Caenorhabditis elegans: one gene and its partner. The protein of the gene in region 1 interacts with the protein of each later gene in a pairwise test. Each region holds a gene or a part of one and is shown in the gene's direction. Other genes may lie near its edges.

Region 1 (11,083 bases):
GTGTACATTTATCAAAAAATGTTCAAGAGCCAAAATATAGAAAAATATTTTACACGTATTTTGTTAGTTGAAAATTCTTTAATACAACCAAAGAGAACCAAGATAAAAGTTGTCAAACTAGGGCAGTTGGTGCAAGTATATTGTTACACTGCCTCCTATTCAAAGTTTAAAGTTATGATACTGAAATTAAATTTGCAGGAATACAATCTTAATTGCATTCTAAAATAAAAAAGTTCATAGAATATTATTGTGTTATGAAAAAAAAAATCGTCTTGCCAACATATTCTTCTTTCGTGTGGAGTTTACACGAATGGATAAGCGTCTAGTGATGGCTGGGGGATCGTGTTGCGCAGTCGTTACACATGACAAGCTTGGCGTGAAAACGAAACATTAAAAAATTGTAGACGGCAGACGTATATGCAATATTTGGACACCTGAACAGTGACACAAACAGGCACTTGAAACTGTTTAAGATACGGTGATGATCAGGTAATCGAAAAGTTCACTTTAATCATCAAAAAAAAAACATGATTATCAATAATGTTCGCTGATAACCTTGGGAGAACCCCCTACTGATAAGCAAATGATAAGATTTAAAAAACGTTATATCTGAAAACCATGAAAATTGTCTGAAATGTCAATTTGAAAACTGTCAAAGTAGTCGCAAAAATGTCTGTCTTCAAGGCAAGCCTACCTTAAAACCTGTTTGGTTAAATATTCAAAATTCAGTGATTTTATTTTTGGAGAAAAAAACTTTTGGTCAATTTTCTAAACAAAATAAATTTTCACTGAATTTTGTGAAATAAAGTATGATTTTTTAAACAAATTTTTTGCATGTAAAATTTAATCAAGAATGCAAAAAATAGGTGTGAGGCAGGCACGTCTGCCTACTGTATTAACACTGCAAAACGATTAAGCGCACCTAAAAACTGACCGAATTAAACAAGGACCAACACCGATTTGCATATGAGGGCAGTAGGGTGAAAAGTGAAAAGAGGCAAGGTGTCAAAAGAATCTCATCACTCCACTTTTTAAAAGAATTGAGAATGAAATCAAGAAAGAAAACTGTGTGGAATAAGAAAGAGAAAGGAAATTTGGTGACGGATTGAGAGCAGAACGGAAGAAAATTGGCAGGAGATTTAGTTGAATAGGTTGAATGGAATGAGAATTTAAAATGAAATAAAGATCTACATCAAAGGTTGGTGCCTACTGCAAGAGTTGAACTTTCTGATCTACTTTGATAGCTCATTGTTTTTTAAGTGTATTGATTAGTACAAAAATGGAACGTGGGGATGCTATTTTTAAAAAAGTGAGAACACTGGTTGAAATTAGAAGGTCTGCATTATGGAAATACTAGCCATCGAATTTTTACCCAAATCATAAATATATAGGCACGAGTTCATCTGAAACCTTCGGAGATTCAGAAAAATGAGAAACTCATGAGTTAACTCACCCAATTGTCGCTTTGTCTTCAAATCGATTTTCAAAGTGGTTCAGCTGACTTGAAAAGTTGAGAAAACCTTGTTTTAATTGGCAACACTTATCTAACTTGTTTATCTTTTTCACATTTACCGCGTGCTTTCGACTTTTTCTCTAGTTGTCCTTAATCTACGTAGGAGAATCATGCCTGCCTCCTGCCTGCCTACAGGCGTATCTGCTGCCTAAGTGCCCACGACAATTGTTTTAAATTGGACTTTCAACAGTTGCATTGTACTGAGTGATTTTGTATATCTACACTGTGCTCTCATAGCCAGATTTCTTGCCAAAATGCGGAAATAGGCGGTAGGCAAGTGGGCAAGTGCTTGCCTACCATTCGGTACCATATATTGAATCAACTGCCATAAATGTTCCCCTATTTCCAGCTCATTTGAAACCAGTTACGAGAAAGTACAAAACGATGAAATGAGGCGGATAAACCTCTCATAACTTTTGAATTCTCAAACGACCGTTCCGTCGTAGGGATGAAACAGTACGTGGATTGAGGAGAGCTTAGACAATTAGTAGGTCAATGGGAAAAGCGTCTCCCTTTCAGAAGGAAAGGATTCGAAGCAGTTGGAGAATAGAAAAATAGATCGAATGATACTTTCGATATGATTAGAAGAAAATGAGATGAAACAAAAACTGGATTGTTTAGAGAAGGAAGATGATTTTAGAGTATAAGCATAGCATATGGCATTTACAATAAATGATAAGAAGGTGGTGAAAGTGAAAGTATAAAGCTGCAAAATTTAATATTAAGAAAACAAAGATCCATTTATAATCAAAGCGATGTCTGCCAGAAAAGACACACTTCCCGCTTTTCCAATTATTTTCTTAAAGTTTCAAAGCGGAAACTTACATAACATACAGAAAAATATGTGTGTTTTCTGAAAATAATTTTGTATTCCTATATTTGAATGTTTCAAGATTCTTCTCAAAAACTTACTCAAAGTTGTAATGCTACCATTTCGACTTTGAGGAAATTTTAAGCAATTTTATCGAAATTTTCAAACAAAAGAAATTTAATTTTTTTAAAAGAACAAGTATTTATCTATTTTTCTGTATAATATTTTATTTAAAAGCTTCGACACAACAACGAGAAACGAGGACATTTGCAACACACATAATCGGTGCCTGCCTGTGCGCCTATAGACCTATAGGCGCAGGCCGCCTAAACCTATGCCTGTAGGCATTAACACCACCACATTCGAATCTTCTCCTTCCGCTTGCCATCATTATTTTATCACCAAATCATTTTGTTTATGAATTTCAAAGACATGTTCAGTCAGGTCTTTCAATGAAAGACCTGTTCCAGGTGGGAACTGAACTGCTTTCCCTTTCCGGGTTTTGCAAATTTATTTGCCAAAGAAACACGAAAAACTGATGTTTGGATTTGAATAAGTTCTTTTGTTTAGATCAAATTACAAGTCAACATTTGGAATAATTATGTTTTGAGAATATTTGGGCTGTAACGAAATATAGAAAATTGCAAAAGTTTTAGAATTATATTTATATCTAGTAAGACTTTAGAGTTATCAAAAAGTCTTGAACTAAGAAAATTGGAAACTTTTAAGATGAATATCTTATTAGTTGACGAATCCTGGATAGCATCTGAAATGTCTGACTATGAGATATAAGCTTTTAGGTCAAAAGCTTGCCATGCACAGTTTCAAAAAGTATGGAATTTTTGAGTTTATTTTAGGTATCTATTCTGTGTTCGTAGACTATGTAGAAGTAAAGTACGAGAAAATGCAATGTAAAATTTCAAAAGAGCCAAGATATGGGCGGAGCCTAATTTGGAAAATCAGTGCAGCATTGTCAAAGTTTATGCTATTAAATACTTAAATCAAAAACTTTGAATTTTAATTTAAAATCACCAACTTGAGTCTTGTCACGATCGAAACATTTCAACTAACGAAACAATCAAAGAGGTACGGTAGTTGAAAAATTCCGCGCGTGCCAGGACCCGATAGAAACTGTTCGATCGGTATTACGCAATGTGTGTAAAACGATTCAAAAGAACAGAAAATAATTGTATTACAGAGAACGGAAGAGATAAAAGTTGTATAGACATATGGAAACTAGAAACACGTTTGACACAGTGAATAGATTGAATGAGGCGAGCTGTAGAAGATGGAGAAGCTGTATGAATGCGATGACTTCGCACCTTTTCTGACAGATTTAAGATGAAGATAGTTGTTTTTTTTGCAAGTTAAATGAAACGAACAAGTGAAAACTTTGAATCCAAAAAGTTTCATAAAAAGATATGAAATGAAGAAAAATGTGTAGAAGTAACAAAAGTGAGTGGAAGTATTCAACGAAAAGCGATGGAAACATTTGAATGAAAGGAAGGCCTCCCGGGAAAGAGGGAGAGAAAGAGAGGCTAACCATCCGTCCGGCCTTTCGTCAAACCCGTTTCTCTCTTTCACAGTTTCCCGATCCTTGCTGGTCTCATGCTTCTTCTTCTTCTCCTCCATCTACAGCCATTTCGGTGTTGTTCGCTATTGTAAACGATGTGAGAATTTCTTCGGACTATCAGAGAGAGAGAGATAGAGAGAGAGAGAGGGAGAGAGACCAGCTATCTATAGCATTTGACCTGATAAGAAAGCCGATTCGAATCGACGGTGGAAAGGTTTGATGAACTAAGCTGCCACGGAGGGACGAAGAGATATAAATTGGAAATATTTGGAAATATCAAATGAAATATTTCGTAATTGGATGTGAAACTGTCTGTCTGTATTTAGGGATTTACAAGGAATTTTTGTTCTTCTCACTAAACAATCACTATACATAAAGTGGGGAAATAATTTGGAAAAATATGATTTTTAAGAAAAGTCGACACAAAAGTTCACAAAAAGCTTGAAAGTTCATAAAAGCAACATATTTGGTGAATAGTTCTTCAGTTTGATTTTATGTTTTTTTTTTCCAAACATTCCAAATATTTTTTTTTGTTCGTTTTTCCAGTTCTTGAACCTCGTCAGTGCCATTCACGGTGATCTAGATCATATTCTGCGGTGACAAATTGCAATAAAACAAGAAGTTTATTCCCCATTAAATAAACTTCTTTTGTAAAAACCTGAAAATCTGTCTGAAAATAGCTTTTTTAAATATTTTCGTGGTCTAGATTTTTCGTGGTCTACATTTTTTATAACGGTCTCCCTCTCTCGTTCAAACTGCCGCCAACAAAAGAGCGCAATAGAGCATGCTTGCACAGCCGTGGTGAGAGACACCTCTTGTTTAATTGAATGCGCCTTTAAACTGTAATCCAATTTGTGACTCATTTCCCCTTCAATTTTCTCTCCAATTTTCAGCAAAATGGCTTACAAAGATGCCAGACAGGTGAAAATTGCTGAAAAACTTGTGATACTGAATGATCGTGCTGCTGGAATGATGACACGGATATACAATATTAAGAAATCAAGCGGCGGTGAGTAGTCTTTGAAAATTTCTGTTGTTATAAAATGCTGAAGATTTCAGATTCAAAAGTGAAACCACAATTTCTTAGCGACAAGAAGATGGAAGGTGCAATCAAACATATAGTTAGAAAGTTTCCTGTTGTTGATTGCAGATCGAATTCAGTGAGTAGTTCAAATTGTTGATTTCTCATGCCGAAATTAATTTCAGTCGACGTTCGAATATGTACAAGAAAAGTCCACGGAAATTACAAAATCTTTATCGCTATATTACTACACATTTGCTGATATTCTTGATTTAAAAGATCACATTATGCAAGTTTTGACAACTATGGAATCATGTCAATGTCAGCTGGATGTGGTGAGTATATTATTGATTTTAAATATTTATATCGTTCGTATAATGTTTAAGCTAAAATTTTATTTTTTAGACGCTCAATTACGACCTGACAACGAGTTATTTGAATCTTGTTGTACATCTCGTCACAATGATGATTCTTTTATCAAGAATTGAAGACCGGAAAGCTGTTCTTGGACTTTTTAATGCGGCATATGATCTACAACACGGACAAAGTGAAGCATCATTTCCAAGATTAGGACAAATGATTCTTGATTATGAAAATCCGTTAAAAAAGCTTCATGAAGATCTCGGACCACTGAACAGGCTAATTTATTCAGCTCTTTCTTCTGTTACACACACATATCAGCGCAGAAACAAGACAGCAGATTCATGGAGAACATCAAATGTTTTCTCGTTGACCGCTGCTCCAGCACAAATTTTATATGCTGCTCAAACAGAAACTGTGAGCAAGTTTTTATTTAATGGAAAATTATTTATGTAAATCGTTTCAGATTGCATGCGAATATCTATCACTCGACGTCATTGATCGATGGATTGTGTGTAAGTTAATATACAAATTAGTATTAAAATGTTTATTAAAATTGTAATATTTTCAGTCTGCGGAACAGTATGCCATTCAACTCTTCTTAACGATGACAACATTAGGCACATGTGGCAGCTGGCACTTCAAATGAATCTGTGTCTTCGCGTTTTCCGAGACGAAACATTTATTGTTCATCAAGAGATTCAAGCGTTTTTAGAATCTTCCAAAGAAAAAAGCAAACGGTTACAAGATGTTAAAGATGCGTTCAATCATGCATCTGTTACTGCGTAAGTTAAAAAATATGATAAACAAAGCGTTTTCTAATAATTTGTATTTCAGAGTTGCCGTCCACGCAGACCGTCGCCGCTTCCTTAGAAGTTCTCTTCGAGAGCTGTCACTTTTACTACGAGATCAGCCCGGACTACTTGGCCCGAAAATTCTCTATGTCTGGATGGCTCTTGGAGCAGGAAGAGATGAGGTCATATGGCTTCTACGGCATCAAGTTGAAGTTCCTGCTATCAGCAAAAAAGGCAGCAGAATGGTCGAGGAGCTTGTTGACAGGCAACTTCCAGAACTGCTATTTTATATGCTGGAATTAAGAGATCTCGTTACGAAATATTATGCAGTGATTCAAAGATACTATCTACAGGTTTTGTTAAAACTTTAAATTTATCTATTTTAAATCTTTTTTATTTTCAGTACGTGTCTAGCTATGATTCAATTGTTGTTTCTGAAGAGATTAACCAAGCAAATGGCCTCACCCAGGAAGAAGCGGTTCTTTTGACCGATTTTGCCAACGAAATAGGAAATATCAACTCTGATACGGATCTTCGTGCTCTTCGACTAGACTGGTTTAGATTTCAAGCTTGGACATCTGCTGCTCGGAGCCATTTCCAACTTTCAAGACATAAAAAACTCGCAATATACATGAATACTTCAGTTTTTCATCTGAAAATGATCGATTTGCAAGACGAGATGCTAAGGGAAACAAGTGATTTATCATTATACTGCTTCTATCCAAAACTCGCTGAAAAACATTGGCTCAACTGTCTCCAGCTACCTGCTCAAGCTCGATATGTGCTCAGTTTTGCACGTCTTGCCGCGCATTTCACAAGCGCCCTCCATGACATGTGTCCTGAAGAAAAAGCATTTATCACTGAAAAAGCCTTGGCTCAATGCAATTCTGTAATTGAAGAGACGTGCAAACAATTGTCATATATCCTGGAAAAAGTGGCTGAACATGAATTCGGATTAGCTTATCAAATGACACCGAGCGCCGTGGCTGTAAGAGTTGTTGCTCAAGTTGTTCAACAGAAAGGATCTGGAAAAGCTGCAGCGGCGGCCGCAGCAGCCGCTCGAGATTATTTCATTGCTGGAGAAGAAAGTTATCGAGTTGATCGTCAAGCATTAACAATGCCTGATAAGTTGCAAACAACTCTTCGTAAGTTTTAAAACGTTTTTTAAATTAGATTTTATATCACAAATTTCCCACTTTTCAGTTGAAATCTCTGCAGCTCTCGGAGCTCATCGTCAAATTTACGTTGCTGATCACACATTTGCACCGAGGACGTACCTAGCGCAGTCCCTTGAAACTAAATTTGTAGAATTGCTTCATGGAATGTTCTGGGAAGGTCAACCACATGCAAGTAATCCAAAAAGACCAAGTGAAATGCTCCTTGCGCTACAAGCCTACATGACGGTTCTTCAAAATCTTGATACAGCAAGTAAGTGGTTTTTAAAATAATCTATAAATATTCTCATAAATGGAATTTCAGTTTCTGTGGATATCAGTAATACAATGCAAACAACTCTTCTACAACAAACTCAACTCGTTGATTCCAAGAATAAAGACACAATCGCAGCACTCTACACGAAATGGTATCTCGAAGTTTTGCTCCGTCGTGCTTCATCTGGTCATATGGTTTGGAGTGAGCATCTACGAACAATGTTATCATCAGGACAGGAACAACTCTCGTTCATGCCCGATCATTATTCAGATCCTCAAGAATTGAGAGCATTGGTTCAAATTATCGGACCTTATGGAGTAAAGTTGATGACTGAACGGCTGATTTGGCACGTGGCCAGTCAAATTATGGAGATGAGCAAGATTGTTGCAACATACAAAGATGCTCTACAGATTGCTAGATCTAATTTCGATAATGCTGAAAAGATGAAGGATGTTTTAAATCTTTTGAGCGTCGAACCAAAGGACAAGAAAACTCCGAACGCAACATGCGCAGCTGATGCAATTCTGCAAAGAACTATTATTATCGGACAGATTTGTCTGTTTCGTGATGCTCTCCACGATGCTCTTCGTCATATCGTCGAATCTAAATTGCCATTTCTTCAAGCATCATTTGATATGCTTTATCACAATTTGGACGATGTTGATAAAGTTAAAATTGGAGAAATGTCAGCTGCGATGGGAGTCACAGGACCAGTTGATATGTCGTTGGTGAATGCGGTTCGTGCTCAAAATCCGAATATTCACCCTCAAGAACACTATGTTAATAGTTGTCTATTGATGGTTGCCGTCGCTATCTGTATTCCACGAATTGGAATGTCGGATCTTTCGTCTTACAAGCCTAGCATTCAAGGTACATACTTTTACAGCTTTTTGCAAAAATTAAAAATAAACAATTTCAGCCAGCTTGAACAATAGTCACTGTGTTCCAATGGCGATTAACACTATCGGATCAGCTCTTTTCCATCTCCACGAGCAAAATGATATCCAGTCGAGGATGAAGGAGTTCTTGGCGGTTAGCTCTATCATTATTAACACATATTCTCACCTAGAAAAATTTTCAGCTCGCGTCCTCGGGTATTCTACGAACTATTCATGAACGTGATAACAGTCGACAAATATCCGACGACGTTCTTCGTTCCCACACAACTCTCTACATTATCCTTGAACAGATGGTTCGGAAAAACCGTTGGCTGTCGATGGATGTTCTTGAAACCTGTTTCCCATATAATCTCGTCCGTACAGCCTACCAACAATGCTACGAGGCTGATGCTCAATAATTTTATCTGCGATCCCAATATGTACAGCTACGATCCCTTCTCACATACTTCCTGTGCCTGTATTTTATTTATTTTATTTTTCTTTCTTCAACGAACCATTACTATACGGGTTCCCGCTTCCGAATACCGCCTTTTTGACTATTATTCCCTGCATTTTCGTGTGAATCATTGCTCCCAAGTACTCATTTTGCCTTCCATTTGGCTTTAATTTATTGCAGTTTGTCGTCATAATAAACTTTTTATCAATTTATCAAAAATTTTTATTTTATCTATTACATAAATGCGATTAAATTTTAAGTTAAAAAAACGAGAATTAGCTAAATTAGATATGCTTGGTAATTTGAATTTGAATTCGCGCGTAAAAGTGATGGATGGGTCTCGCCACGACCGGCATGCAATTTTGAATTTTTTCACATTTTGAGGTCCAATGAGGTCGAAATTTTTAGACATTTTTAGTAAAAAAAAATTATTTATGTTTTTGCAGTCTCTTCAGTATGTTTCCTGAATTGCAGACACTCCAGTGGCCGATCATAAAGTATAAGCAATTGAGAGGAAGCGGTAATCGACAAGAGGTTTTAAAAATAGATGAATTCTGTATCGAAAAGTTAAATTTGCAGGGCAAAGATATTCGCGTTGTTATGGAGGTGAATAGCAGGAAGCTGACGGTTATTCATGGAGTCGAGCCGATCGAGACCGTTTATTGTAACATGGAAGTTTCTAGGTATCCGAGTTTGAAGTGAGTCTTTGTTGTTTGAGAAATTAAAGTCAAATTGCCCGGTTTTCAGAATGAAGAACACAAATTTGTTCGTGATTGTAAACAACCAGGCTCAAGGTTTCCGATTAACTCTTCGTGGCGAAGATCGGGAGAATTTTCTGTCAACTGTCAGAAAATTTGCTTATATTTCGGAGACTCCAGTTAAGGATCATTTGAATCGCTCATCCACAAATACCGGTATTCTTTATTCTTTTAATAGTTTCAAGTTTCATTTTTGAATTATAGATGTGTGGTACAACAGTGTCGAGAAACGGAAGGGAGGATCGTCATCACAGCCGACATCCTTCTCCCAACCATGCGATATTGATATTGGTGGCTCGGTGAAGAAATCCGCGGCAAGAAACTTATCACATACGTATTCCACCAACATTGGTGAAAGTTCCCGGATGCCAGCACTCACAGCAAATGAATTCTTCTCACAGCCAGTCTACAATCCTTACAATAGGCCAGCGTCGAGTGCCAGCACTGTTAGTTCATCGATTGGCTCGGCTTACAGCGTTCTCCACGATGATTCACCATTTTCTGGATTTTCGCCAAATTCGAACCATTCTTTGCAATTTCCGTGTCCCAGCCCATCGCACAGTTCGTCATTTTCCGGATTTTCGCAGGTAAATTGAAAATTAACTGGAATATCCCACCCTATTAAATTAATTTTCAGAGTTCATCACACTCTTCTCAATTGTCCTCCAGTCCCGCAAACGCACCTTCATTTCCGGATTTTCACAGCCCACCCTCTGCCAATGATATCCAGATAGATCAACTCAATCCGGTGACTGTGGCTCCTCAAATCAAGCAAACTGCGGACAAATGCGTTCAAACAGATAAACAATATGTTGATGAACGTTTCGACGATCCTGCTTTCCTGAGGAGATACATAAAGAGAGTTATGAGTGATTCAAAAATGGCGAGATTGGTTGGAATGATGCGATCTGAAATTCGAAAACTTCCAAATGACGAATTTGATGCATTTTACAAAGTAAGTTTCATTTGTTAAATAATAATAAAATTGACCGACTTCAAAACATAATTTACAGAAAGTCAAGGATCACCAACGCACTGCTCCCAGCTCGTCATCAAAAATCGGTCCCCCAGCTATCGTCCAACAAACTTCTGATATGGAATTTTAGGCGAATCACCTTCTGCACGATCTTCTGTATCATCATATCATGTTCAATGCAAAATATTTCTAAATTTCATTTTCTCACGTGACATTTTATTGTTCTTTTTATTGCTAATAAAAGTTGGAATAATTTTACTAGAATTTCGAAAAAAACACTCATGTCGAATAATGGAAGCCGAAAATGACAATAAAAAGCAGGGATGGACTCTAATCGACAATGTTATCTCGTGTATTTGTAAGTTTCGCGCGATTTTTAAAATGTTAAAAGGAGACGTTTTCAGTGTTAGTCTATGCTGGAATAGTCACTGCTTTCATATGCCCAATTGTTTTCTTATGCTTCTTCTACACAGCGGCACCTATCATGCTTTTCAGCACCGAATTTCGAAAA
Region 2 (11,083 bases), on another chromosome or scaffold:
TCTCGATATGAGGAATATTGTCGATGGAAGGAGTTGATCGAGCATGATGATGTTCATGCGATAAAAGATGGCGCATGGTTTAGTCCATTGATGAAATACGAGAGAAAGCTGAGAGAAAGAGAGGATGAACTATTTGCCAGTTTCATTCATTGAAATATCTACATTGTGTTTGTCAGTTATGAATCCAATTTTTAAGTGAATAATTCAACCCAAGTGGACAAACCGACGATTTTCCGTATGTACATATTTATTTTGGAAGGTATTGATTTTCGGTTTCCAATCTTTGAAATTGCTTTATTTCGTGTTATTTTTCAATGTTTATTCCATGTTCAGAGAATGAAAAGTTTCACTTTATTAGCTGTTTAATCCATCGCCAACTGTTTGCTGAAGATAATGTTTTTTGGAGTTTGATGACTGGATATTTGACGAAAAAAAATTATTCCAGATTTGAGAATAGTAGCAATTGATAAACGTTTACCACCAAGCAGTGTACAGGGTGGCCCATAATTATGGACCACCCTGTATGTTAGGAAATGCCAAAAGAATCTCTACCAATATGAATTTTAATTTTAAACTGCTTGAAAAAAAAACCGAACTGCGCTGGAGTTTTATCAATTTTTATATTTTTCTTTCAAGTTTTGTGCTTTACATATATATTCCCAGAAGCTTTTTTACCACTTCAGCAACGCGATGACTGTTCATATTTTTGATTGAAGCCCCAGGTTTTTAACAGCAAACAATTTTGAATTTTTTTGCGCAACAAAACTCAGCTCAAAATTCTGCTCCTAGAAATATATGGGTTATCCACTTTAATTGCACTCTTTTAATGCACAACTTGCACTATTCTACGCCGCTGGCGCGTTGCCATGGCGACATACCAACACCAGTGATTTTAACTTACCGCCCATTTTTAAAAAATCATTTTGTTTAATAATTTTCTGTGGCATTATTCATAATACTTTTGTAGATTCTGCATATTTTTCAAACTTTCACTGAAGTCTTTTTGAAACATGATCAATCCGGATGGCCAATTGGAAAGGTCACTCTACTCGTATATATACAAAACTTACAAAACGCACTAGAAACTCAACAGAAAAACATCTAATGAGATTGAAATGATAAACTCGCGACGTGAATAGTCAACTTTAACAGAATTTATTAAAAAAGTTGCAAACTTTTCTTTTCAAACACTTATTTATGATTAATTCACGCCTTGATGATTTTTAAAAAGTTTTCGATGAGTTTTCAGCAGTTTCATGTTTTCCTATCATGCTCAGAAGACTTGTGATTCAAGCTCATTTTAGTGAAAAACTATAATTTGCTAAATTCAGCTGCAATTTGGAATTTTGCCAATTGTTCCATGGTCATTATGGCTTTTTCTCAATTTTCGATGAGTTTTCAGCATTTTTATGCGCACATATTATGGTTAGAAGAATTTAGGTTCGAAAGTTACCGCGATTCGGCGCAGACGCATTATGCGCCACCCTGATGAGCTTTGACCTTTCGATACTTAATTGCTTATTGGTCGCGGTGTTAAAATGGGCCTGTGGTGTAGTGGTTAACACACTGGTCTTGTGAGTCGGATTTCATCTCCCGGCTTCAAGTTCAAAGCCAGAGACGTCGGTTCGAATCCTTCCGGGTCCAATTTTTGTTTTGTTTTTTTTTGTTTTGAAAAATAAACTTCTTAATACAAGCATTTAGAACTATTTGGTGTATTGGTTAAGCTGTGTTCTGCACATAAGACCTGGGTTCGATCCCCCCAGAGTGCGATATTTTTTATTGTTTACTTGGTGCCATTTTTAATAGTCTTGATGATTTTTGACATGCGACATACATAGGTCTCGCCTCCCCTAGGTGCAACACGGTAAGTTTTGTGTTCGAAGCACCCAGAAGTGTATCTCAAACGACGCGTTTGATAAAAGGAAAAAATAATGCAAACTTTAAGAACTTTCAAATAAAAATCAGTTTTGGACCACTGCGACGTGGAATAATTGGCAAAATTTCAAATTGCAGCTGAATTTAGCAAATTATAGTTTTGCACTAAAATGAGTTTGAACCACAAGTCTTCTGAGCATAATATGAGAGCATGAATATGCTGAAAACTTATCGAAAACTTTTTAAAAATCATCAAGACTATCAAGAAAATCAAGAAAAATGGCATCAAGTAAACAATAAAAAATATCGCACTCTGGGGGGATCGAACCCAGGTCTTATGTGCAGAACACAGCTTGACCAATACACCAAATAGTTATAAATGCTTGTATTAAGAAGTTTATTTTTCAAAACAAAAAAACAAAACAAAAATTGGACCCGGAAGGATTCGAACCGACGTCTCTGGCTTTGAACTTGAAGCCGGGAGATGAAATCCGACTCACAAGACCAGTGTGTTAACCACTACACCACAGGCCCATTTTAACACGGCGACCAATTAGCAATTAAGTATCGAAAGGTCAAAGGCCACCAGGCGTGGCGTGTAATGCTTCGCGCAGAAACACTGTAACTATTGAACCAGAGAAAGTGAATTAATCATAAATAAATGTTTGAAAAGAAGAGTTTGCAACTTTTTTAATAAATTCTGTTAAAGTTGACTATTCACGTCGCGAGTTTATCATTTCAATCTCATTAGATGTTTTTCTGTTGAGTTTCTGGTGCGTTTTGTAAGTTTTGTATATATACGAGTAGAGTGACCTTTCCAATTGGCCATCCGGATTGATCATGTTTCAAAAAGACTTCAGTGAAAGTTTGAAAAATATGCAGAATCTACAAAAGTTCTATGAATAATGCCACAGAAAATTATTAAACAAAATGATTTTTAAAAAATGGGCGGTAAGTTAAAACTGCTTTTTCTGAATCATGTGTGTCTCGGAACGATTGTACAATAGCTAAAAATTGTCAAAAAGTTAATTTTTTCCATCCATAATTTATTTAACAATTTTTAGTATTAAAACAAAAAATTTTCATCAAGGTTTAAAAAAAATTGGTACATTAAAAACGGAGTTTGAGGAGGGGAGTGGGGCAGGATATGAGGGAGAGGGGGACTGTGATTGCTACAAATTTTGGATGTCATTTTGATGTACTATTTTGAGGCGTTAAGCTTGTTAGGTAATTGTGTAGTAGCTATAATTAACATCACCGAAATGAAAAAGATTTTAGGTCAAATCTACGACACAGATATTGTTTTTATATATACTTCAGTTTTTCCAAACAATAAAATCAAAAGAGCGATTGAACAGCAGGAGTGTTGCTACTGTTCCGTTGTTGCTCACGATATCTCTTCCACTTTCACAGTCTAATCGTTCGATTTCATTGCTGAAAATTGAATACGACGTGTGGTATTTATTAGGTAGTAGTCTGGATATATTTTCATATCCCATTGCTTTGCAAAACCTTTTTCAATTCAGTATTAAAAGATGGAAAATGGACTATTGAAAACAAAATTGCTTTAAAAATTTGTTTTAAAAAATCACAAAGCTTTTTTTCCAGATGTCAGAAATTTTACATGGAGTATTTTTGTGAAATACTAAAGGAATTACAAGCCGGATTAAATGTTTGAAAAAAGGCCAAATTATGTGTGACTGAAATCCCTAAGTTCGCCATTTTGTGGTAGTAAAAAATTAAGCACAATAAAAAAATCAAATAACTTACCAATAGATTTTAGGTCGACGTTTCGGATGCCATGTATAGTTTTTAATACCTTTCAGGATTTTTTCATACATAATGGGACTCATTCTGCTGTGCAACCGTAGTCTTCGGAGGTTCGGCAATTTTCCATTTAACCAATACAATACTATGTTGTTTAGATCCAATTCTTTGATTGAATGTACACATAATCTGATCACTTCACAATTCATTGATCTTAAATCTTGTAGTGTGATATTTTTGGCGTGGTAAAATTCTATCTCAGGAACATTGTAGATCTGAAATGAAATATGATTATAAGTAATTGGGATTTTTTGCAACTTCCTTACCAACTCTTTATTTTCGAAAAAGCATTGAATGTTAAGTTTTTGTTTCAACTCAATCATTGTCGTCAACTCGTTCATATTACTGGTTGATAAATTTTCATTTGGACCACCAAAAATTTCCACACATTTGCATTTATTGAACATTGGATGACTTAGTGTTGGCCGATAATCGCCGAATAACTTCTCATGGCTGATCAGTAAATCGAGGTTTTCAACAAAAAAATAATTGGTCAATAGAATTCAAAATTTCGATCAACTGATTCGGTTGGTCGTAGCTCATTGTATTGAATTTTTTAAATTTCGAATAGTCACTGAAAAAATTACAGTTTTATATGGCGATGCATGAGAATTGTTTCAGTAGAGTTTTATTTACTTGGGGTTTATATTAATTGAAGATTAAAAAACGATCTCGACTTAAGTGCTATGCACTGCGGAACTGAGAGTCAGGTACACTGCCTGGTCATCACTACCGACTGAGCAACCCCTCCGGTCTAAAATTTTTGAACTACCGTGAAATGTTAAAACATGGTTAGGTAAAAACTTTTTGAAAGTTTTCAAATGTTTAAGGTCATTCAGACTAAACAAATCACACATGTTTGAGAAAAAACTAGCAGAAAAATCAAAAAATTACCAAAACGTAGAGATGCAAAAGTTGGTAATGCTGATTGAAAAAAGGTTTGGATATCTTAAAGTCAGTAGTTTACCAGACTTAAAAGGATAATACATGTCTTCTGAAGTCTCTATAGCAATCACTTTGCTTGAAAATAAATCACTAGGATTTCGGAATGGTGGTAGATCAACATGGAAAACACGGTTGTCGATAAGAAGTTTGTAGATTTTTCGATTAATTTTTTTTAAATCTACATCTGGTTTCACCAGAATTTTTTGATAGTTCTATTCTGAAAACAATAGACATTTAGATAATTAAAACCTACTTCAACTCACACTTCAGTCAACTTCAATTGATGTATAATATTCCGAAATGCAGGATACGGTAAACCAAGTAGGTGAAAGGGTTGAATCTAAAAAATCAATAAAATTAAACGAAAAACTGTAAAATACATATGTTCTTGCCTTGTTTGACGGGGTCCTGATACCTCGACGTTTAAAAAATCTCAGACAAATAAATGAGGAGAGTTGTGAAATAAAGGAGCTCATACCAAATGGTAACTCAAATATGTAATCGAAAAAAAAAAACACTGAGCAGACTAACGGAGCAGGCGAGCGTCTAAATGGTATAATCGATACATAGAAAGTGGTTATAAATCCTCCAAGTGTGTGACATCATACATTGTGCACAATGTAGCAGTAGCTATAGTAGCAGGAAATTAGTAACATTAGATCTATCCTGTTTGAAAGCATCAATGTCGATGAGTTGTTTTTTAAATTAAAAAACCATCGAGAATAATTTGAAAAATAAAATATGAATAATCTGAAGTCCCAAGGAATACCAAATTTCTACTTGAAGATTCTCAGTTTTTGTAACTTTTTAGAAGTCTTCGATCAAAAAAAATCCTTTGAATAGACATTTTTTCATATTTTTATGAATTAATAATGTTAAGAATCCTTATTAGTTTGGGATATCCAAACATTTTTTAAAATTTATGTTAAAAAACAAAAGATTTCAATGTTCTATATAAAGCAGTTTTTATTACTTTCCAGGTACTTAGTATTCCTATATTAAAATAATTTTAAAAAATTTCAAAACTCTGCACAAATCCGTTTTTGGAGCTATTTTAACGACCCTTTACATCTCGTTTTCAGGAATTCAGGATTATGTTCCGCCGTTTCTTTTAAAAAGTTTGAGATAAAAAATTATTTTAGTTTTGATTTTTCGCTTACAGGTTTTCTAATTAACATCTCCTTTACTGCCTATTATCCTGTTTCTTTTTATAAATTTATTCTTCTCATTTATTATTCAGTGATTATCCAATATTTTAGAGAATTAACTATCAATCCAATTGTTCCTCAAAACTCCATAGTCTTGGATAGTCTTGAAAACTGATCGATACCATGCAAACGGTGTGTGTTGTTTTGTTGATTCCCTGCCGCATTTGAACTATTTTTTCACCGCGCGCACGCATCGCCCCTGTCCGTCTCGCCACACACTATTTCCGCGCGCTCTTTCTCTACCTCTCACACTCTCTCAATCTCCCTAACTCAAGTGTTCATTCTTGTTGCGTGGTCCCACCGGTTTGCATTTTTTCATCTCTGTCTTTCTTTTTCGTTGTATTTTTTTAAATTTCATTTATTTCAATATTTCATTAAGTTTTGATTTTTGCAGGTATGAGTTCCTCAAAACCTTACCCAAGCGGTCTGCCAAACTCGAGAAGAAAAAGAGGAGGTGAGAGTTTTTTGCATCAATTTTTCATTCAATTTGTAAATTCAGGTCGCCGCTCAAGTAGTCGTAGCAATCAGGAAAGTGCATCCAACAACATGGAACACCAAATCACTCTTGACGAATTGTTCAATCCGATCGCAAAACAAGACAGTGCTCAGTCAACAAGCCGTGAATATGGTGCAAAATCGGGGATATCTCATCACGGATCCGTATCATTCAACGGGAATACATTCATGAATGGCCAACAGCTGAATCACTCGATGACTCGACATGGTCGAGTATTCAATCAGTCGATGCATGCAGCTCAAGGAAACGGCAGCAACGCCTTTAACAGTATTCCTCCTACGGCCCCCGTCTTCTCTGCAGACTTCCGCCGCAACTTGCAAACACGCAATAGCTCCAGCTGGTATGAACGAAGATTCCCAGTATCCACAGATCAGGACGACGTTCAGCAATCAAACACAAGACGTAGTAGAAGTCGTCAGAATGGACAACATGGCCTAAGCTTCTCGGATGGTTCGAACAATTATGGTCACGCTGGGAATAAGTCATTCAGTGTGAGTTCCGTTCCCGTTGGGTTCCAGAAGCAAGAAAATAATTCTAAGAAACTGCGACAAACCAATGTTCACCAGCAATGTCTTGGAAATAAAAGCTTCAACGCTCAAGCTGGAGTTCATGGACACGCTTTTAAAAAAGGCCATAAGGACAATAAAAATGCATCTGGAAAGGAGGTTATCAATTCTAGTCTTGTCCAAAAGCACGATGCTATTAAGTCGCGGAATTTGAACCAGAGCTTCTCTGGATTTCCTACACATGAAACCTCATCGATGAAAAATCAACAACAGAAATCAAGAAACGACAGAAAAAAATCACGTGGTAGCAGCAACTTCCAGGATCGTACTTACTTCAACACAAATGACGATGAATTAACTGACGATGTGTTCATAGACGATTCCATGGATGCTGCCCGTGGTCGGAGATCTCGATCAGTCACTAAGAAACTTCAACAATCGACTTATTCAAAGCAGAATGCAGGCAGTAAACAATTGACTGAAAAATGCAAATCTTCTGAAGAAGCGGCTAAACGTAACCTGGTATCCAATGTATTCAGCAAGGACGGCACTGAACTCTCCATTGAACAGTTATTGGAAATTGTCAGCATGAAGATCGGACAACAGATTCACTTGCCTTCCAGCTCTCATGGAGAATGCAGCAATTTGAATCGGACATTACCAGCAAGTGATCTAAATTGCTCAATTGGTGAAGACTTTGACTCCAGTTTTGTGGATGCTAACAACCAAACCCTACCAGTGAGTCTTCCCAAGAAAACTTCACTGTCGATCAAGCGCCGTGGAAGTTCTCGTAGTGCCTCCCGTCTGGCCAGTCTTGATGTGACACTGGAAACTGTTGAAGAAGACGAGGAACCCACGCCAAGTCCACAGCCGAGTTCTCCTCCAAAGATCTCAAGAAGAAAGTGGACAGGAACTTTTGATGCCAACGTTGAGGAAATGAGACGTTTACTTCATGGGGACCCTGAGATGCCGAAATCTGCAAATCGTGCTTCCTCAAGGTATGTAGTGAAATAGTAAAATCTTTAGTAAAAATTTAAATTTCAGCAAGGATCAGATCAATCGGAACAATGTGGATGTAAAGAGAACACCTTCCTCGTCAATCATCCCAACTCCAAAGGCTTTGATCGGAGAAAGATGTCTGACATCATCCAGCAAGTTAGTTTTACACTTGGAGCTTCTTATTTCATTATATTTTTTACAGGTCTTCAAAGTTGAACAAGTCACTTGGCGTGGTTGATTCTAAAGCTACAAAATCACCAATGTATTCCGTCACAGTTTCTGGAAAAGAAACAGCTTCAGGAAAGCGAATTGCTCAAAAGTTGACTCCAAAGGTTGTGGCGCTGGAAAGGTATGACTTTACAAAAAACGAACAACATTTCCATATTTTCTTTTCCAGCTCTTACATTACCGGAATTCCAGTTTCCACGGATTGTAATGGTTGCCCAACTCCGAAGAGAAGTGGAATCAATTGTGAAATTCGTGCAGCTGAAGTATACAATCAAGCTGGGAAATGGCCCTTCGAAATCACCAGGTAAGGTCCAAGTTAATAAATCCGCTATCGATCAAGCATATGGAAAATAATGTACAAGCTGAAAAGATTGAGCTCAAAACTTGATTCAAATCCTGTAAAATTATTTTCTGAGTACAGTAAATTTCTTTCAGTGATCCGGCTCCACTTCCTTGTGAATCAGCCGATCGGATCGAATATCCTTCTCAAGATTGCACTCAAGATCCAGCTTCAACCTCGCCACCACCTCGCATTTCTGAAAGCTTGACAGCATTCCTGGAAGCTCAGCAAGACTTTAACGACTACATTGATACTAACTACAAAGAAAAGACACAACTCCTGAAAGTGAATTTGAATATTCACGGGATGTCACCTGAAAGATGGCTGTACTTGAATTATTTTTGCACCGAGACAATTCCAAGATTGGATGGTCCTTATGCCGATGGTAAGAAAGATAAGACATATTTAATCTTGAAAACTTTAATTTTTTCAGATCCAAGAGTTCCACCTGTGCGAAATATGTTCAGAAAATGGTTCCTCCGTTTTGCTGAAGCCTGCTTAGGAAATCCTCACCAGCTTGCAGTTATGCAAGAGATTGCTGCCACGTTTGTTCAGGCTCGGCTGGACGATACGAGCAGCTCCACAGACTCCACCAATATGCTCTACATGTTGTGGAAGGAGTGTATCGGACAGAAGAATATCATCGCAATTGCTGATGCGTGTTTACTTGCACATCTTCGGAAATCGGATCCTATCAAATACTTGAATGTAAAACGGGATTGGCTGGAATCTATTTTTGACCCACCCAGAGATCAATGATTGTACCAATTTATATCTATTACTTGTAGACTATATTGTATGTTATTCTTGTTCATTAACCCTTTATCCACTCTTGTTATATTTCAACTCGCTTCTCCTTGTGAATTTGTATTATGTCTACCCAGATACTTGTAGAGGGTAGTATTATATTGTTGTCTGGATGATTGATAAAGAATTGCCGATTCTTTAAGATTTGGAGTGGAACTAGAATAAAAGAAAAGTTCGAAATAGATTTAAGAAAAGATGATTGGTAACTGATTTGAAAATATACATATCTTCTCATAGATCTTTTTTGTGAAATTTAAATACTGTCATTAGGCAAAATAGTAGTCACGGATTCAATTTTAAAACAGATGCTTCAGATTTGTTTGGAAAAGTTCCGTTTTTTAATACAGGGTGGGCCATAATTATGCGCACTACTTTGAAGCTTCATAAAACCAAAACAAAAAACACATTAAACAAATAATCATATAGGTTTTGTTCTCCGAGAAAAACTAAATAAGATACCATTTTTGAATTCGAAAATATCACCGTCCGCATTGCTACAGGCCTTCACAAGTTTCGGAAACGCACCAACGATGGCGGACAAGTAGGCACGCTTCAGGGTTTTTCATGTTTTTCTCGGAGGACTCATTAGTTATCAAGTAAAATTTAAAGTTCAAAGAATGCTCTTGATTCAGAGATGCTTCACACAAAAAATCTAAAAGATTGATATTGTTAGGTGACAGTGGCAGCTGATTGAGTATCGAGTACTGTGAAATTCAGTCAAGGCCTAAACGAAGCTTGTGCGCGGAAGCACTGACATGCTAAGAAAATCATATTTGTGTTTTTAGTTATTATTTTTACCCAAGGTTTCATATTTTCTTACGAATTTGCTCATAGATGATTTTGCGGATCGGTGTGTCTCGTGGAACAGAAAAAAGTGATGCGAACTAATGGGACGGTCTTTAAAACACACACTATTATCCATCATTATATCCATCAGTGTTGGCGCATAACCACTTTTGCTGATTCAAAACATACGTAACTGGTTCACAGCTACTTAAACTTCATATTAATGCTGAAAATCAAAATTTTTTGGAATATTGGCCGGTGGTACAGGCTCTCCGCCAAAACACCACTTTGGTAGAGGGGTGCTTCAGATTGTCGTGGTTGTGGAGAGTGCATCTTGTTGAGAAACATATTAAATTTTATGTCAAATGGAAGATAATCATCCCGGCAACCAGAATAAATTAAAAAATTTGAGACATGACGTGGCAGTCGCGTAAAAAACTACAGTAAATAGGCTAGAAACGAGTGCGCATAATTATGGTCCACCCTGTAAAGTAAAAAATCATGTGAAACATCTGGTAGCAAACAAATAGTTGAAAAGCATACTCCAGGTTGACAATTTTCACAATCAGATCTTGTACATACGAGCATTAAACTATTAGTTTCAGTTGTGCTGTGAAAACTCAATTTTCACTACAAAAAAGAACACGATTTCAAAATATATTCCTAACTCTAATGCAAGAAGTAGCACTCAATTTGAAATCTCACAAATTTTGACCAAAGATCTTCTCGAAATTACTTGCAACCACACCAACTGACAAACACTGAGAACAAACACTGGAGAGCACCTGTTGTTATTCCTTGCTATTTCTTCGTTTGTTGTAAGCTCGGGGAGTTTTACCTCCATACTTCTTTACTTTTTTTCTCTAAATGTTTTTTTTCAAGATTAAAAATAACCAGCAACCTAATAAAATTAATTCGACTGTTATTTTAGTTGAAATTTGTGTCTTCACACAAGTCCGAACTCGGAGACAAAATTTTTGAAGTTTCATAATCTTTTCACAGAGAAAATAAAACTATCAAAATGCAAACGTGAACAAGTAACCAA

What was found. The genes of interacting proteins can lie anywhere in the genome.
Region 2: the proteins of gex-3 (region 1) and meg-3 interact in a two-hybrid assay, tested with the Caenorhabditis elegans proteins (one large-scale study listed by BioGRID).

What each region holds. Positions count from the first base shown.
Region 1 is NC_003282.8:12,399,641-12,410,723, forward strand, and holds gex-3 (Membrane-associated protein gex-3), read left to right. Parts: upstream 1-4,790; 5' UTR 4,791-4,794; coding exon 4,795-4,906; intron 4,907-4,956; coding exon 4,957-5,057; intron 5,058-5,103; coding exon 5,104-5,253; intron 5,254-5,323; coding exon 5,324-5,695; intron 5,696-5,744; coding exon 5,745-5,793; intron 5,794-5,849; coding exon 5,850-6,063; intron 6,064-6,115; coding exon 6,116-6,425; intron 6,426-6,475; coding exon 6,476-7,217; intron 7,218-7,275; coding exon 7,276-7,500; intron 7,501-7,551; coding exon 7,552-8,373; intron 8,374-8,422; coding exon 8,423-8,535; intron 8,536-8,584; coding exon 8,585-8,800; 3' UTR 8,801-9,050; downstream 9,051-11,083. Other genes in the region: dsb-1 (Double-Strand Break factor), read left to right, coding at 9,295-9,372, 9,418-9,536, 9,586-9,752, 9,801-10,183, 10,234-10,551, 10,610-10,702; acl-13 (Phospholipid/glycerol acyltransferase domain-containing protein), read left to right, coding at 10,864-10,930, 10,977-11,083. UniProt on the Caenorhabditis elegans protein: Rac effector required for tissue morphogenesis, cell migrations and egg laying. May play a role in egg laying and in yolk protein clatherin-mediated endocytosis by oocytes during oogenesis.
Region 2 is NC_003284.9:1,984,774-1,995,856, reverse strand, and holds meg-3 (uncharacterized protein), read left to right. Parts: upstream 1-6,249; 5' UTR 6,250-6,251; coding exon 6,252-6,309; intron 6,310-6,354; coding exon 6,355-7,876; intron 7,877-7,922; coding exon 7,923-8,033; intron 8,034-8,079; coding exon 8,080-8,226; intron 8,227-8,274; coding exon 8,275-8,409; intron 8,410-8,540; coding exon 8,541-8,830; intron 8,831-8,878; coding exon 8,879-9,204; 3' UTR 9,205-9,388; downstream 9,389-11,083. Other genes in the region: Y40A1A.2 (F-box domain-containing protein), read right to left, coding at 4,810-4,864, 4,911-4,987, 5,040-5,123.